2 linked regions of the Caenorhabditis elegans genome follow. The protein of the gene in region 1 interacts with the protein of each later gene in a pairwise test. Each region holds a gene or a part of one and is shown on either strand. Other genes may lie near its edges.

The links. Proteins that work in one complex are often made in the same cells at the same time.
Region 2: the proteins of ced-10 (region 1) and max-2 interact in a two-hybrid assay, tested with the Caenorhabditis elegans proteins (one study listed by BioGRID).

Annotation. Positions count from the first base shown.
Region 1 is NC_003282.8:3,502,690-3,511,367, reverse strand, and holds ced-10 (Ras-related protein ced-10), read left to right. Parts: upstream 1-1,840; 5' UTR 1,841-1,874; coding exon 1,875-1,979; intron 1,980-2,259; exon of another isoform or gene 2,260-2,409; intron 2,410-2,767; coding exon 2,768-2,859; intron 2,860-3,126; coding exon 3,127-3,312; intron 3,313-3,796; coding exon 3,797-3,989; 3' UTR 3,990-5,040; downstream 5,041-8,678. Other genes in the region: tsg-101 (Tumor susceptibility gene 101 protein), read left to right, coding at 1-176, 764-894; srz-83 (Serpentine Receptor, class Z), read right to left, coding at 5,253-5,486, 5,535-5,696, 6,159-6,438, 6,492-6,601, 6,766-6,924; ceh-53 (Homeobox domain-containing protein), read right to left, coding at 7,525-7,617, 8,067-8,209, 8,596-8,678. UniProt on the Caenorhabditis elegans protein: Required in engulfing to control the phagocytosis of apoptotic cell corpses. Required in embryonic development for the correct positioning and orientation of the mitotic spindles and division planes in blastomere cells.
Region 2 is NC_003280.10:13,021,375-13,029,146, reverse strand, and holds the start of max-2 (non-specific serine/threonine protein kinase), read left to right. Parts: upstream 1-3,308; 5' UTR 3,309-3,368; coding exon 3,369-3,392; intron 3,393-3,444; coding exon 3,445-3,569; intron 3,570-3,618; coding exon 3,619-3,696; intron 3,697-3,905; coding exon 3,906-4,108; intron 4,109-5,077; coding exon 5,078-5,239; intron 5,240-5,289; coding exon 5,290-5,495; intron 5,496-7,772. UniProt on the Caenorhabditis elegans protein: Serine/threonine-protein kinase, which phosphorylates mlk-1. Involved in the stress response to heavy metals by activating the mlk-1/mek-1/kgb-1 pathway.

The DNA.
Region 1 (8,678 bases):
CGCCTGTGAAATCTATACGGCAAAGAAAGCAGAGCTCGCGAAAGCTCTTTCAGACGCTGGAGGCACTGATGCTCCACCAATTGATGAGGCAATTGATGCCGCTTTTCCGTTGCACCGACAAATTGTGCTCAATTATGCGAAAGATTTGACATGTGATGACGTCATTTATTCACTTGGTATGGAACGAAAAGTTGGGAAAAATTGGAAAAATCTAGCTGGAATTGCTCAATCCTGAGGAAAATGTGCAAAAATTGTTTTCAAAAAATGCAGAAGTTGAAAATTAAGAAAAACTAGTGAAAATGTTTCAAAAAAATTAAATTAAAGTTGAGATTTTTCGAAGTTTCTGAGAGATTTGAAGCCAAATTAAAAGCGTTTTTCTGAAATTTTTCAACGATTTCGTCTATTAGCACTACTACAAATCATTCAAAAACCCCCGAAAAAAAACAGAAATTAGTTAAAATTGACTTTAAATTCTAGAAAATTCACAAAAACTACAAAAAATTGGAAGTTTCTGAACAATTTTCAGCCATTTTTACTCCAAAATTTTGTTGAAATCGTTCAAAAATCAGTTTCGGTTTTATTTTAGCAAAAGTGTTTTTTTTTTGCGGAAATTTGATAGAAAAATTATTGAAAATGACTGAAAATTGGAATTTCAGCAAATTTTCGGTGTAAAAATTTTTCCGAAATCCAGCAAAAAAAAAAACGAAAAAAAATTATGGTATTTATGAGAAATTTTTTTTTTGCCTAATCTTCAAAATTTCAGGTCAATCACTGAAAAAACGCCAAATAACACTTGCCGAATACCTCCGCCATGTTCGTGACGTGTCCCGAGAGCAATTTATCTACCGAGCAACAATGCAGAAATGTCGACGAACTGCTGGTCTTCCTATTTAAAATTTAAATAAAATTTGGATTGAAAATCGTGGAAATTTTTGAGAAAAAATTGCTAATTTTTTGACCAAAACTGGAAAATCGTGAAAAATTGTCCATAAAAATGCTAAAAATTCGATAAAATTCTCGATTTTTGGATGAAAAATACTTTTTTCAATAAAAAGTGGGAATTTCAGCGATTTTCTGACGAAAAACTTAAAATTATTGCTGAGAAATCGAGAAAAATGCATTTTTTTAAAACGATTTTAGCTAAAAATTCCATATTTCATTTATTTTCCTGATGAAAAATTGTTTAACATCAAAATTTCGGTGCTTTTCCGTGATTTTTCAAGTTTTTTACATGTTTTTCCGTTAAAAATTCACTTAAATCTTCTAATTTCAGCCGAAAATTGTAAATTTCAATAATTCCCGTTAAAAATGATGGAGCTTCTATTGAAAATTACCTCGAAAAAAGCTTTCTTTTTTTGACGATTTTCCAGCCGAAACATGTAAATTACGACGAATTTCAGTGACTTTTTTGTCAAAAAAATTACGGTTTTCACTCATTTTTCCATCTTCTCATTTCAAAATTTCTCCCATTGCCGCCATTTTTCTCTAATACTCCCTTTCTCTCCGTCTTGATGCCCGTTGTGATTTGGTTTGTTCTCTCTCTCTCTCTCTTTTTTTCCGTTTTATAGACACAATTTTCTAGATTTTTCCCCATTTAAAATATCCAATTTTGCACCCATTTCCCCATTTTTCCCGGGGGAAAAGCTCGCTTTTCTCTCGAAATTCGATGACTTTTTCAGGTTTTTTGTTCATTTATTTTTTGTACAAAAATTTTAATTTAAATGTGATTTTTCCCCCCATTTTTTTCTGATTTTTTCGCTCAAAATACCGTGATTTTTGGCGGTTTTTCAATATTTTTGATAGATTTTTTTTGTTGCTATTTTTAAGCCAATTTTTCCAGCTTTTTGTGCTTGTGCTCGCGGAGCTCCCCACAAATGCAAGCGATCAAATGTGTCGTCGTTGGTGACGGAGCCGTCGGTAAAACGTGTCTCCTGATATCCTACACCACAAACGCATTTCCCGGAGAATATATTCCGACGGTGAGTCATTTTTAAAGCAAAAATTGAGATAAAATTACGTTTTTTGGCTCAGAAAATAGGACATTTTGACACAAAATCGAAAAAAAAAAACAAAGAAATTTAGGCAAAAAATATTCAAAATTGTTGTATTTTGATCCAAAAATCATTGAAATAAATATTTTTTTAGGCCAAAAACTGGGAAAAATAGTGAAATTATCAATACTGAAAATCGTGAACATTTTGATTTATAAAACATTTAAATAAAAAATAATTTAAATTAAATTTTTTTTGCTAAAAATCGTTTTAAAAAGTACATTTTTTTAATCAAAAAAATAAGTGAAATTTCACTGAAAAGTATGAAAATTAAAACTTCCGTTTTTTACGGAAAATCTAGACAAAAAACTTTTCAAAATGCGATAAAAAAGTTTTCTGCAAAAATCGTTTTAAGAAACACATTTTTAGCGAAATTTTGCTGAAAAATATGAAAATTGTCAACTTGTTCCCATAAAAATCAATAAATTAATATTTTTTATACCAAAAGCTGGGAAAATGGTGAAATTTCATATAAAAATTGGTATTTTTATTTGAAAAAAAAATGTCGAAAATTTCAAAAAACTTCAGTTTTTTTAAACGGAAAATCTAGAAAATTTTGATTCAAAAAACTTTTAAAAATGCAATAAAATTGTAGGCTTTTTGCAACAAAAAAATTGAAAATTTTGAAAAGCGCACAATTTCCCGCAAAAAATATGAAAGGTGTCTTCTTTTTCCCAAAAAAATGCTTTTTTCCCATAAATTCAAATTTTTTCCAGGTATTCGACAACTACTCAGCAAATGTGATGGTCGACGGTCGGCCGATAAATCTCGGGCTCTGGGATACAGCTGGACAGGAAGATTACGATCGGTACGGGCAGCGGGAAAACTGAAAATGCTCGAAAAAACTCAGGATTATGGGTTTTTTCAATAAAAAATTGCTCAGGATTATGTGATATTTTCCTCAATCAAAATGTGGAAAATATCACATTTTAGAAAATTTCATCCAATTTTTCATAAAATGACAGTGATTTTGAAGCTATTTTGTGGTGAAAAACTCGAAAAACATGGAATTTTTCGCACTTTGCACTAAAAATTACCCCAATTATCAATTTTTCAACACCAAAAAAATTTGCAGACTCCGACCACTGTCATATCCACAAACAGACGTGTTTCTCGTATGCTTTGCCCTGAACAATCCGGCGAGTTTTGAGAATGTTCGTGCGAAATGGTATCCAGAAGTGTCACATCATTGCCCGAATACGCCGATTATTTTGGTTGGAACGAAAGCTGATCTGCGTGAGGATCGAGATACTGTTGAACGGTAGATTTTTGGAGAATTTGAGAGAAAAATTGAGGAATAAAGTGAAAAATTTGTAGAAAATGATGAAAAATTGCCAAAAAATTCGAAAAAGCGCATAAAAATTCAGAAAATCACTTAAAAATTGAAGGAATACCGCCAAAACATTAGAAAAATCATTAGAAACGGCAAAAAAATGAGAAATAAGGAAAAAACGCATCAATTTCAGGAAAAAAAATTGCAAAAATTGTATGAAAAGTTGCGTAAAATAGCACAACATTCACATAAAATTTTGGAAAAAAATTTGCAAGATTTTGAGAAATTTGCTCAAAATGTTGAAAAAAAAATTAAAATTAAGATAAATCGCTAAAGAAATGTAAAAAGTTGCACTAAATTCGCATAAATTGTGGACAAAAGTTTGAAATTTTGAAAAAAAGCACATTAAACAAAATTGGCTTAAAATCGAGAAAACTTGCAAAAATTCCGAAAAAAAAAATTTTTTTTGCAGGCTCCGCGAACGCCGGCTCCAACCAGTGAGCCAAACCCAGGGCTACGTGATGGCAAAGGAAATCAAGGCTGTCAAGTATCTGGAGTGCTCGGCGCTCACGCAACGTGGTCTGAAACAAGTTTTCGATGAGGCGATCCGAGCCGTGCTCACGCCGCCACAAAGAGCCAAAAAGAGCAAGTGTACGGTGCTCTAAGATGGGGAAATTGGAGCAAACAATCGCAGAAACTACAACAATTTTAACTATATATATACATATATCATCTGGATTTTTTTTGTTTTATCGATGAATTTTGCTGTGAAATTACCGGTTTTTAGGGAGTAAAAATTGGCAAAAACTGAGCATTTTTAGGCAAAAAACTCGCCGATTTCCGTTCAAAGAAATGCTCCAAATCGGCTGAAAATTACTATTTTTTTTAACCGAAAATCGGCCAAATTTCCACTGAAAAAGCTCAATTTCAGCCGAAAATTTCTCGATTTTTTTCCAGAAAATTGTCCAAAATCTGGGCGTTTCCACTCTCTAAATCTGAATTTCCAGCACACTTTTTCTCATTTTCCCCCTCTATTTTTATCTCTAAAAATTTGTTTTGTATCAACGATTTTTCATCTTAAACTCGCTGTGATACTTTTCTTACTTATCCACCCCAATTTTCAGCATATTTTGTGCTCATTTTTGAGCCGAAAAATGCTCAATTTGTCCATTCATAATTTTGTGCTTTTCCCCTTTTCCCACCTGAAATAGGTCTTTTTTCATCTGAAAAATTGAATAACTTTTCCCCAAAAACCACAAGTGCTTTTTCCTCTCTAATTTTTATCGGTTTATTTTTTTTATTTGAAATTTCTTCGAAATTTTTGTGAAATTTCTTCGAAAAATCTGAAAATGTTTGGAAATCTCTACGATTTTTTCTAAAAAATGTTCAAACTTTTTGGAATTTGTTTGAAAAATTATTTGGAATTTTTCTGAAACTTTTTTTCAAAAACTTTCGATTTTTTTTTGTAATTTTTAGGACACAACGAACCCTCTCTCCACAACCAAAAATCCTCTTTTTTCTATTGTGAATTTGAACAACAAACTCGGCTCTTTTTCCCTTTTTTCTTACTTTAATTGTTAATTTCTCTTCTTTTTGTCCAACTTTTATTATGCTATTTTAATATGATGATATGATATTTTACCACACTTTTTTTCTATGATGGAATTTTAAATTTGAACATTTTTTGATGGAAAAATTGGAAAAAAAAACAATTCGAAAAGTTGCAGAGATTACAGATTTTTCTGAAACTTTCGATCAAAAATTTCAGATTCTGAGTTTTTTTACATTTGTTAATCGGACACAGAAATGAATGAAAAAAATCCTAAAAAATTTCCGAACTTTTGTTTTCTCGGTGGCCTAGAAAACCTAGATTTCTAGGAGTTTTCTAGTCCCCGGGCATTGGCCACCCAGCAAGCACGTGTGTGTGTTCATTGATCGTTAATGTGTGGGTTGACGCTGAAACTCTTGATCCCCAAAATCACTTTGATAAATCTTTTCAAACTGATTTTTTCCGATGAATCTCCAATCCATTTTCTGCTTCCCAAATACGGAACTTGAATAGTCAACGGAGTTATAAGAGTACTCACTAAGGTAGCGATTACCACAAAAGAGCACCCACAAGAACCATGTAACAACTGGATAGTGCTAAATATGATTGGGAACTGAAAACTGGTTCAAAAAATAAAATTGAATTACATCGAACTAAATACCGATTCAAATATTAGCGCAGTGACTGCCTGCCAGAAAATGTACTTTTGCAGAATATAATAATGACCAGAGGTTACGTAAGCATTTTTTCTAACGCTTCTCATGATCGGAATATAAAATAGTGTTGAAAACAGTTGTAAGACATACGGAATAATGATGGTTGCCTAAAATAGTCAATTATGTAATATCGGATTGACGGGACAGTCAGAATTTTCAAAGAAAAGTTTATGCGGAAATTCAAATTTTCAGATATAAATTTTTTGTGGAAGATACCAATTTCTTGTGATACTATTTTTGTTGGAAATGCAACTTTTCTGATAGAAAGCTTGACAAGAAATTTAAAAAATTTTACTGAAAAATCTTTGGCGCGAAATTTAAATTTTCTACAAAAAATTTTACTCTGAATGAAAATATAACAATTTTTGGCGGGAAATCCAAATATTCTGAATTAATCTACAGCGGGAAATTCAAAAGTTCTAATCAAATTTGGCGGAAAAGGTAAAAAAAGGTTTTGAAAGTTTTTTTCTTGGAAATTTTAGATTTTATGAGAAAATAATTTGGCGGGAAATTAAATTTATCTGATGATTCTGAATAGTTTTCAGGTGTCAAAGTTCCATTAAACGTACACTGGAAAATGTGTCAAACTTTGCCTCAGCCGCTGTGCTTCCATTTGATAGAACCCATAGTATCGCTTCTGTTATTAAAAATATGATATATAAATACCAAACGTCCTTGAAAAAGTGTTTCTGGATAATTGAAACTTGCTTCTCCAGTTTTGGGAAATAGAAAACCAGAAATTGTTGGAATGCCAGGAAAAACGTGGTAAGATAAAATGCCTTTGTAAGATGATACATGGTAAAACACAATGCATAAAAGATCACAACGATTAGAAAGCGAATTATTACACTGGAAATCAGAAAATTCTTTAAAAAATGGTTTTTTTAAAACTGAAACAGTACATTTCGTGAATTACATGTAGCAACGTATGGAGAATAATCGAGAAAACAAACAGGAAATACGCTAGCTGCACCATTTCGTAAAAATGTTGAACTGTTGGGAAGAGCAGCATCTACCAAAAAATTTTCCACTAATTTTCAGAAAATCACTTATGGGGTTATTCAAGTAATGTAGCAAAATGTATTTAGATACATGTTTTTATATACTTGAATACAGTTGTGACGTAATTTTTCTACACTTTTTAATTTTCCGACATTACTTGAATAACCCCATTACCTTCTTGTCCCGGTCTCTATTGATTTCATAGAGATACTTGTAGAATGGAAATATAATTAAGTTAATTAATAAAAAAGCATATGATATAAGGTCAAATTCAGCTCCTATGCTTTCGAAATATATGTTATCGGAGTTATTTGAAATTTTGGTGTCGTTCATTGATTTCTACTCGGGTTTTGAAAAAAAAAGTGAGTAGAAATGGGGTGCGATAATTCACCTGCACTTGAGAAACTATGAGAAAATAATAATAATAAAATTGGCAGCTGTTTAAAGGTGGAGTACCGAAATTTGGAAAATATTTTCAAACAAGTACAAACCCCTGATTTCGAAAAAAAATTCTCTGATTTTATATTTGAGCTTGAAATCACTTTGCGTCCCCATGAGTTTTTTCAAATGCGCGCCAAAAAATTATCATTGGAGTGCGCTTGCTTAGCTCCCGGAAATCGAGATGAAGCAAGCGTGCTCCAATGTGAATTTCTTTGAGCACACATTTGAAAAGGTCATGGGTGCACAAATGAAACTCGATCTTTAGCTGAAATTTAAAATCAGGGAAATTTTTTTGAATTTTTTCACATAAATATTCGAAATCAGGGGCAAACTTGGAGGCCAATTAACAATTTAGAAAAAAAAGTTTCAAAAAACTCAGAAATTTAAATTTTCGAAAATTATTCTCAGAAAAAAGTTTTTTTTAAAAAATTAAAATTCATTATTCCAATTCAATTTCTAATTAATAATATACTTACAAAAACAAAACACAACTCAAGAAATAATATTACTTCCAACATTTGCCACCAATTTGGCACTGCCTATCGATGCCGCCGTCGTCGTGGCCGCCAGCAAATGTGTAGGAATCTGCAAAAACTCTAAAAAATATTTGTTTTACTCCCCACTTACTTGGGCGGCTTAATCTTGTACTCCGAGCCACCTAATACAAGTACCTAATCTGAATATCAGGTTACCCCCCCCCCCCCCCCCCCCAGGTACTGTAACTATTTTGGGTGATGGGAAGAGAGATTAGGCTAATCTTGTTGTAAGTAGGTAAGCAAATATTCGAAAACTTAAAAAAAAAAGTTTGTTCCCCTGCCTACATGCCTGCCTATGCCTATTGTTATGAGTTTATGCGTTTTGGAGTGAAGCGATAACTAAGAAGTGATAACTAATTGACAAGGTTTCAAAATTGTTGAAATTTTGGATTTTCCGAGTAGCTGAAATTTTGAAAAAAAAAAAAGAAATTTTTGAGTATTGATAAAATTTTAATTACATACTGCAAACTACAGAAGCTACAAACTACAAAATCTTACGGTATTTAAATTCCTATACGGGTTGTATGCATAAAACGGATTCTGATGACAGATAAAGTTCAGTGGCGGAGCCGGAGTTGTCGGAATCGATGTGGTGGTGGGGCTCAGCGACGAGTTGAATAGAGCTGCTCCGGGTGTCCAGGCTGGAAAAAATTGCTTAACACTGGTTCACTAGGACCCCAGTTGTCGAAAATTGCCGAAAATTCCGGCAACTCGGTAACTTGAAAACAGTGACGTCAGAGTTATGGGCTAGTCGCCTAAAATTGTATAAAATTGCCGGAAATTGCCGAATATTGTTGAGGGGTTTTGAAAATTTGCAAAATTTGTCGAAAAATCCCAGAAACTGGGTACTTTGACAACAGTGACGTAAGAGCAAATCGCCGAAATGTGTCGAAAGTTGCCGAAAATTACAGAAAACTGCCAAACAGTGGCACAAGAATTCGTTTTCGGCAATTCGGCATTTTTAGACCAATTCTGTGATAAGTAGAAGGCCAGAAGCAGAAATTTGCCGATTTTTTCGGCAACTTACTAATAATTGTCGTTTCATTCTTTGCTTTTTTCTTCAAACACCCATCTGCATCGCCTTCCTCATTGGATTCTTCAGTAGTACTG
Region 2 (7,772 bases), on another chromosome or scaffold:
GGGGTTTTATGGTTTTTACGAAGGCCCAATGCTACTCGAGGATGGCTCGCAAACAAGTTTTTGCGTGCTTCTCATCAAGTTAGGGTTAGCAGTAGACAAAGTTATTCTCTTTTATTTTCGTTTGCTTGGAGGTTTTCCTCTGTTTTTTCTTCTTCTTTCTTTTGTAAAAACTAACGTCACCTTTCAAGCTCAGGATGGGGCGGAAGTGAATTTCAATGGGGCGGAAGTGAATTTCCGTCTGTGAGCCCGACAATTTTTCAGTCAAAAAGGTTGTTTTTATTCCGTTTGTTTTTGTCTCGCCAAGAAGTCATTCTTTTCTAGAGTATTTTCCTCAAAATTTCTTCCTATTCAATATTACATTATCATTGTTCGAATCTAATGTCAAGAATTCGTCTGTCTAGGATTTTCCAATTCCCAGAATGAGTGATATACGTATAAATGTATAAAATTGGAACGGCATAGGCTGACTGCTCAATGGGCTCCCCACTAACCCTCTTGAAATATGGCCTCATTCCGCTCTCTTCTCGTCTTTGTCCTTGGTCCGTCCGGCAGTCCCCTTCTTCAGAAAGTCATCGACTTTACATTTATTCCAAGGGGTGCGCGGCAATTGCCGTTCGGCAAATTTTTTGCCGACAAATGCGGCGATTTGCCGGAAATTTGCCGGTTTGCCAGAAATTATCAATTCCGGCACATGATCGATTTTTCGGAAATTTTCAATTCTGGCAATTTGCCGATTTGCCGAAAATCTAAAATTCTGGCAATTTGACGTTTTACCGATTTGCCGGAAATTTTTAATTCCGGCAATTTGCCGATTTGCCGGAAATGTTCGATTCCAGCAATTTACCAATTTGCCGGAAATTTTCAACTCCGGCAATTTACCAGTTTGCCGGAAATTTTCAATTCCGGCAATTTACCGATTTGCCGGAAATGTTTAATTACAACAATTTGACGGTTTACTGATTTGCCGGAAATTTTTAATTCCGGCAATTTGCCGATTTGCCGGAAATTTTCAATTTCGATTTTCCGAAAATTTAATTCCGGCAATTTATCCATTTGCCGGAAATTTCAAATCCGGCAATTTACCGATTTGCCGGAAATTTTTAATTCCGGCAATTTGCCGATTTGCCGGAAATGTTCGATTCCAGCAATTTACCAATTTGCCGGAAATTTTCAACTCCGGCAATTTACCAGTTTGCCGGAAATTTTCAATTCCGGCAATTTACCGATTTGCCGGAAATGTTTAATTACAACAATTTGACGGTTTACTGATTTGCCGGAAATTTTTAATTCCGGCAATTTGCCGATTTGCCGGAAATTTCCAATTTCGATTTTCCGAAAATTTAATTCCGGCAATTTATCCATTTGCCGGAAACTTCAAATCCGGCAATTTACCGATTTGCCGGAAATTTTCAATTCCAGCAATTTACCGATTTGTCGGAAATTTACCGATTTGCCGGAAATTTCAAATCCTGAAATTTTCCGATTTGCCGGAAACTTGCCTATTTGTCGAATGTTTCGATTCCGGCAAATTACCGATTTGCCTGAAATTTCAAATCCTGAAATTTGCCTATTTGTCGAAAGTTTCAATTCCGACTATTTGCCTATTTGTTGGAAATTTCAAATCCTGAAATTTACCGATGTGCCGGAAATTTCAATTCCAGCAATTTGCAGATTTGCCCAAAATTTATATTCCAGCAATTACCGATTCGCCGGAAATTTGCCTATTTGCCGGAAGTTTCGATTCCGGCAATTTATCGGTTTGCCGGAAATTTCAAATCCTGAAATTTGCCGATTTTCCTATCTACCGGAAAAAAAAACTTCCTCTTTCTCAATTTCTCCTTTTTTGTGTTGAATAGCACAAAAAACAGAAACAAAAATGAATGAAAGAAGCGACACACACAAAACGGCGAATCATAATAAATGCAAAGCAGTAGATTTTGCCTTTCGTGCCTACCACTCAATATTAAATGTCAGTTGGGACTTCGTGGTAGATTCAGTGCTTTTTACCTACTCGCGCTCCCTTATTTGCTCTCATGCTCCATTTTTTTCCGGCTTTGTGTGCAAAAGTTAGGTTTTAACTTTTTTTCTCGCAGTTTTTCTAATAATAACTTTTATATACTTCTAACGCTAAACTCTTGAGTTTTGGTCAGATATTATTTTGAGATAGAAAATCTCTTCAAGATGAATGATTATGAAAAAACTGTAGCGAAATAAAGAAATCGTCGCCTCGAGTGCAAATATTTGAGAGATTCATCGTCGGCAATCAGTTGGCATTTACTTTGTTTGAAATAGGGTTCATGCCGGCCCGGCACGCCGCGAGAAAAAGTTATCAAAGATGATATAGTTGCAAAATTTACTGCTTTTTGTCTAGTGGAATGAACTGTTCAGCAAAATCTTTTTTGTTACAGCGGGATTTGAATAGTTATTCTCAAGATTTACTAAACTACCTGTATTTTTATTGTTTTATTCAAGTTTTTTGAAAGAATAAATATAATTTCATCGAAAAAGCTATGAAAAACCGATTTAAATCCCATAGCAACAAAAACTTGAAACTACAGTACTCTTTAAAGGCGCACACCTTTCTGCATTTTTCGTAACACTTTTCGTGTCGAGGCCAGGCGCGATTTTTTTGCGATTTTCGGACATCAAAGGAAATACACCCACTGATTTTTTGCAAGTGTTTTGATTTTATTGACAATTGAAAGAAAAATCTATTTCCCCGTTGAACTGCCCACCTTTTCCAACAAAAAAAAAACCGCGCTTGCTTCCCAGAAAAGGGCAGGTTTCTAACGGGAACCCCCATATACTCCCCACTGTCACTTATTCTTGTATAACTATGATTCAATCAAGATGTTTGTGTTGTGCGGGAGCTCTCTCTCAACCCGGCAGGAAGACTATATGACTCACCGTCGTCTTTTGTGTGTCTGTGTGTCTTCGCACTTTGTGATCCCTCGCTATCATTTTCCCGCTCTACCCGTATGACCCGTCATCTTTATGTCCATATTTTTTTCTTTTCTCTTTTTTTTTAATCTTTGCCCACCCTCAACTATTAGTAATTTTAAGTTCCACTCAGGAATTTAATGTTGGCCCAATTTTTTTCCATTAAAATTTGGTGTTAAATTAATTGATTTATTTGAAAATAACATTTCTTTTAGTTCGAAAATGCTGAAAACTTACTTTTATTTATTTTTTAAAAATTTTTTGAATTGAAATTAAATGTATTTTCTATTTTTCTATATTTTGGCACTACCGAAAATAATTACCTCATATCCTTAATAATAATTTCAACTTTTTTTATTAAATTTCAGATTTACCTTAACATCGGGTCTGACAACCGTGTCGCTTACGACGCATTCTAATCATTAACCATGTCAACTTCAAAAAGTTCCAAGGTGAGATTCTAGAAAAAAAAACGATTTTTGTGAATATGTGTTCATTTTGCAGGTGCGAATACGGAATTTCATCGGGCGAATCTTCTCTCCCAGCGATAAAGACAAGGATCGAGACGATGAGATGAAGCCATCCTCGTCCGCAATGGATATTAGTCAGCCATATAACACAGTGCATCGGTACGGTTTTTTTTTCTAATATTCTCCAACAAACCCCAAATATTTGCAGAGTCCACGTTGGATACGACGGCCAGAAGTTCAGCGGACTGCCGCAACCATGGATGGATATTCTTCTCCGAGACATTAGGTAAAGCATCCCATCCCCACGTGGCGTCAGGCTGTCCCATGACGGTTTGATCTACAAAAAATGCGGGAATTTTTTGCCCTGGAAAATGTGACGTCAGTTGAGAACTCTGCGTCCCTTCTCCCGCATTTTTTGTAGATCTACGTAGATCAAGCCGAAATAAGACGCCCCGTGTCCCCCGGTTCTCGGTTCCCATTAACAAATTCTCAAAGCTATTTCAGTCTTGCCGATCAGAAGAAGGATCCGAACGCGGTGGTGACTGCGTTGAAGTTCTACGCACAATCAATGAAGGAGAACGAGAAGACGAAATTCATGACGACGAATAGTGTTTTCACGAATAGCGATGACGATGATGTGGACGTTCAGTTGACCGGACAAGTCACGGAACATTTGAGGAATTTGCAGTGTAGTAATGGTGAGATTTAGTGGAAAATAGAGAAAATTCTCAAATTGTGACTTCTAAATTGACAAAAACAATTTCGCAAACTTTTTTTGTATTGCAGTTGCACGAAATTAACGGTATTTTTTTTTCTTATTTTGCGAATTTTGGCAGCTTAAATCACTTTTTTTTCGGTGATTTTGGTTCAAACCAATCGTTAAAAAATTAAAAAAAAAAAAAAAAATGACAAAAATCAGATAAATGTCAATTTCCGGCGACTGAGACATAGAATAGTTGTGAAAATTGAACATTTTGAATATAATGAGCCAATTTTGTAAGAAATTGTTATAAACTGCCATCAAATCTCTGTTTTATCTCATGAAAATCTCATTTTTGCCCAAATCTACAATTTTGCAAACTTTTCTGTGATGCAGCTGTAAAAATAGGATTATTTTCCTATTTTGGCAGCTAAAGGCCCTTGTTTTTTCTGATTTTGGTTCAAACCAATAGTTAAAACACCTAAAATATGGCAAGAATGATCGTGGTGTCAGGCTGTCCCATTACGGTTTGATCTACAATAAATGCGGGAATTTTCTCGCCCAACAAATGTGACGTCAGCACGTTCCTGTGAACTTTGCGTCTCAACTCCCGCATTTTTTGTAGATCTACGTAGATCAAACCGACATGGGACACTCTGACACCATGCGAAATCAGTTATATGTTAAGGACCGAGCACAAATTTTTATTGCAGATTTACAAAATTTCCGGCAAATTGGTAAACCGTCAAATTGCCGGAATTGTAAATTTCCGGCAAACCGGCAAAGCGCAGTAATTCAAAATTTCTGGCAAATCGGTAAAACGTCAAATTGCCGGAATTGAAAATTTACAATTCCGGCAATTTGACGGTTTACCGATTTGCCGGAAATTTTGTAAATCTGCAAGAAACTTCTTTTTTTTTTGAAATCTTTTGCATTTTCCATCCCTAAAATCCGCGTATCTTTGCAGGTTCCGCAACTTCCCCATCTACATCAGTGTCAGCTTCATCTTCTTCTGCTCGTCCACTGACAAATGGAAATAATCATCTTTCCACGGCGTCGTCTACCGACACATCTCTCTCATTATCGGAAAGGAATAACGTTCCGTCTCCAGCTCCAGTTCCATATAGTGGTAAGTGAACATACACATAAATCTTTGCAATAATTCGATTTTTTTTTCAGAAAGTGCTCCACAACTGAAAACATTCACCGGAGAGACTCCAAAACTGCATCCACGATCTCCGTTCCCGCCTCAACCGCCAGTTCTTCCGCAACGAAGCAAAACCGCATCGGCAGTGGCGACGACGACGACGAATCCGACGACTTCGAATGGAGCACCACCACCAGTTCCTGGATCGAAAGGACCCCCGGTGCCACCGAAACCATCGGTATGATTTAATTTCCAAACTTTGCTGCATGTTTTGTCTTCTTGCTTCTAAACTTCGCGGCGGCGCCCAAACAAACAACACAAAAGCAGTTCATTTTCACTGTTGATGAGGTGATAGTGATATGTCCTCAGAAGTGGCAATTCAAAGAGGATCTTCTTCCCTCTTTGTGTATCGTTTTCAGGCTGCAACTATGTGTTGTTATGTGTGTGTGTGTGTAACACCATCAAAATCCACCAAATAGTTTTCGTTTTCAACGAGTTAATAGTACGCGAATTGAGAAGAAATCATGTCATTGAAAAAACGACGAAGATATCGGTTTACAGTCGAAACGAGATTTTTAGAGCGGCGACGACTTGCGAAAGGTGCGTGAGAGAGCGACGACAAGCCAATTAATCAGTGGCGGTAATTTTTCTGTTTTTTATCAGTCATATAAGAGTATTCGAGGTTGATGAGGTTGACGACGATGACGAGACGATTTCGAGGCAGAGTGACTGGTTTAAAAATGCCTTCAGCGCAGCAGGAGGCGATGCAAATAAGCTTCTTCTTTTTTCTCTTTTTTGCAGACTTCAGTTATCTCTTTTCGTGAGTGTTCACTGATTTGTGTTTTGATTTATGTTGTTCGTCAAATTTGTAGATTTGATCTTCTCACTTCCAAGCTCGGTGCACATTGTTCAAACTCTTTGCAATTCTGGTAGACCTGATCAAAGTCAATATCTATTTCACTGTTAACACACGATCACTGACTTTCATTCCGTCATTTACCGCTTTCTCATAGAGAAATTAGTCGTGAATTAGTAGGGCAAGTTTTCGAAATCTCAAGGCCAATTCGAAATATATCAATCTCCTCATCCTGCTGTCGATTTCTGTCACCTGGAGCGCCAGATATCTTCACCCGATTTCTCCATCATTTCAAATTTGACCTTCCACATGTTCTCTCAATTTCCATTACCCAATGTCAATCTTGAATTGACGGCTTCACCTAAAAATTCTAATTCTGATCCCTCACATCATTTCCATCCCGATGCCATTTACCTTCAAAGAGAGTGTTTGGCGCAACGGACGAATGGTGTCGTTTGCTAATACCAGTCAGTCTGCGATGAATTATGGTGCGATTTAGATGAATGGGGCACGTCAGATCAGAGAAGCTTTGGCCATCACTCAAATAAAAGAAACAAGTCAATTGATAGCGTATGTCTACGTCTATTCCAATTTACATGTGCTATGTGTATGTGTGTGTGTGTATAGCGCAGTGTTTTATGCAGAAGTAAAAGACACATCATCATCACAGAAGAAAGGAGAAGAAGCTTCATAGTCGGCGTCTTCTTCGTTTTGTTTGAAAAGTGAATACATTCCATCGCTTTCCCTCTTCGTCCGCATATTGAGCGGGGAGGCCTGCCCCTTCCTCCTCCTTTAAGTGATATGATTGCCATTCGACGGCCGACCCCCTGGCGGGCGCGCGCCAAGGCAACATTGCAATACCGGTCAGAGGTCTCTGAGGAAGCAGCAAAAAGAGAAGCCTAATCCAGAGAGTTTCTTGAACACTTGCCTTGCCAGGCTGCACCCATTGTATTTGTGTTCGCACTTTCACATGTTCCATCTAGTTCTCTCCGCAGCCAACCTGAAAGTGGCTCATGATTTCTTCTTTGCATTTCGCCGGCGTTTCCCATTTACGGAATAGTCCGGACCCCGTTACAACCCGCAACAACCTTTTTTAATAGAAATTTTGACTTTCATAACCTTCATTTTCTGCTTTCTTCGACACACGGCGACCTTCCAATGCTTACAGTTGACTGACCAGAAGTATTTGGTTTGCATAAGTTTGACGCCTCATTTGGTGTAGACTTTTGACCTACCATTTACCTTACACGCTTCTTATTCTACCTGCCCAAACTTCAAATTCGTTCCCTCGTTCCAAACGGATGATGCTTACGATTCTCAGATATATCTATGTATATCCGGCCTTCTCTCTCAGTCTCTCACTATGTGTAATTATAGAAGCACTTGTAATCGGCTAATTGGTTGTCTTAGAGGCCGTCATGACTTTAACTGTATTTTGTCGGCGGCTTCCGATACCTTTGGCATGTCGAAAAGCCGAAGAATAAATAAATGACGGTAGTTGTTTTTGCTTCTTTTTTTCTGAGTTTTCCTCTTAATTTTCTCTTTCCCATTCACAGTTCTAATAGACATGCGAGACCACACAGTTTTCTTGGATCATAAAAAAGCGAAGACCCGTCGTAAAATAATAGGAAAGGTCAGCGGCAGGAAGCATAATCATCC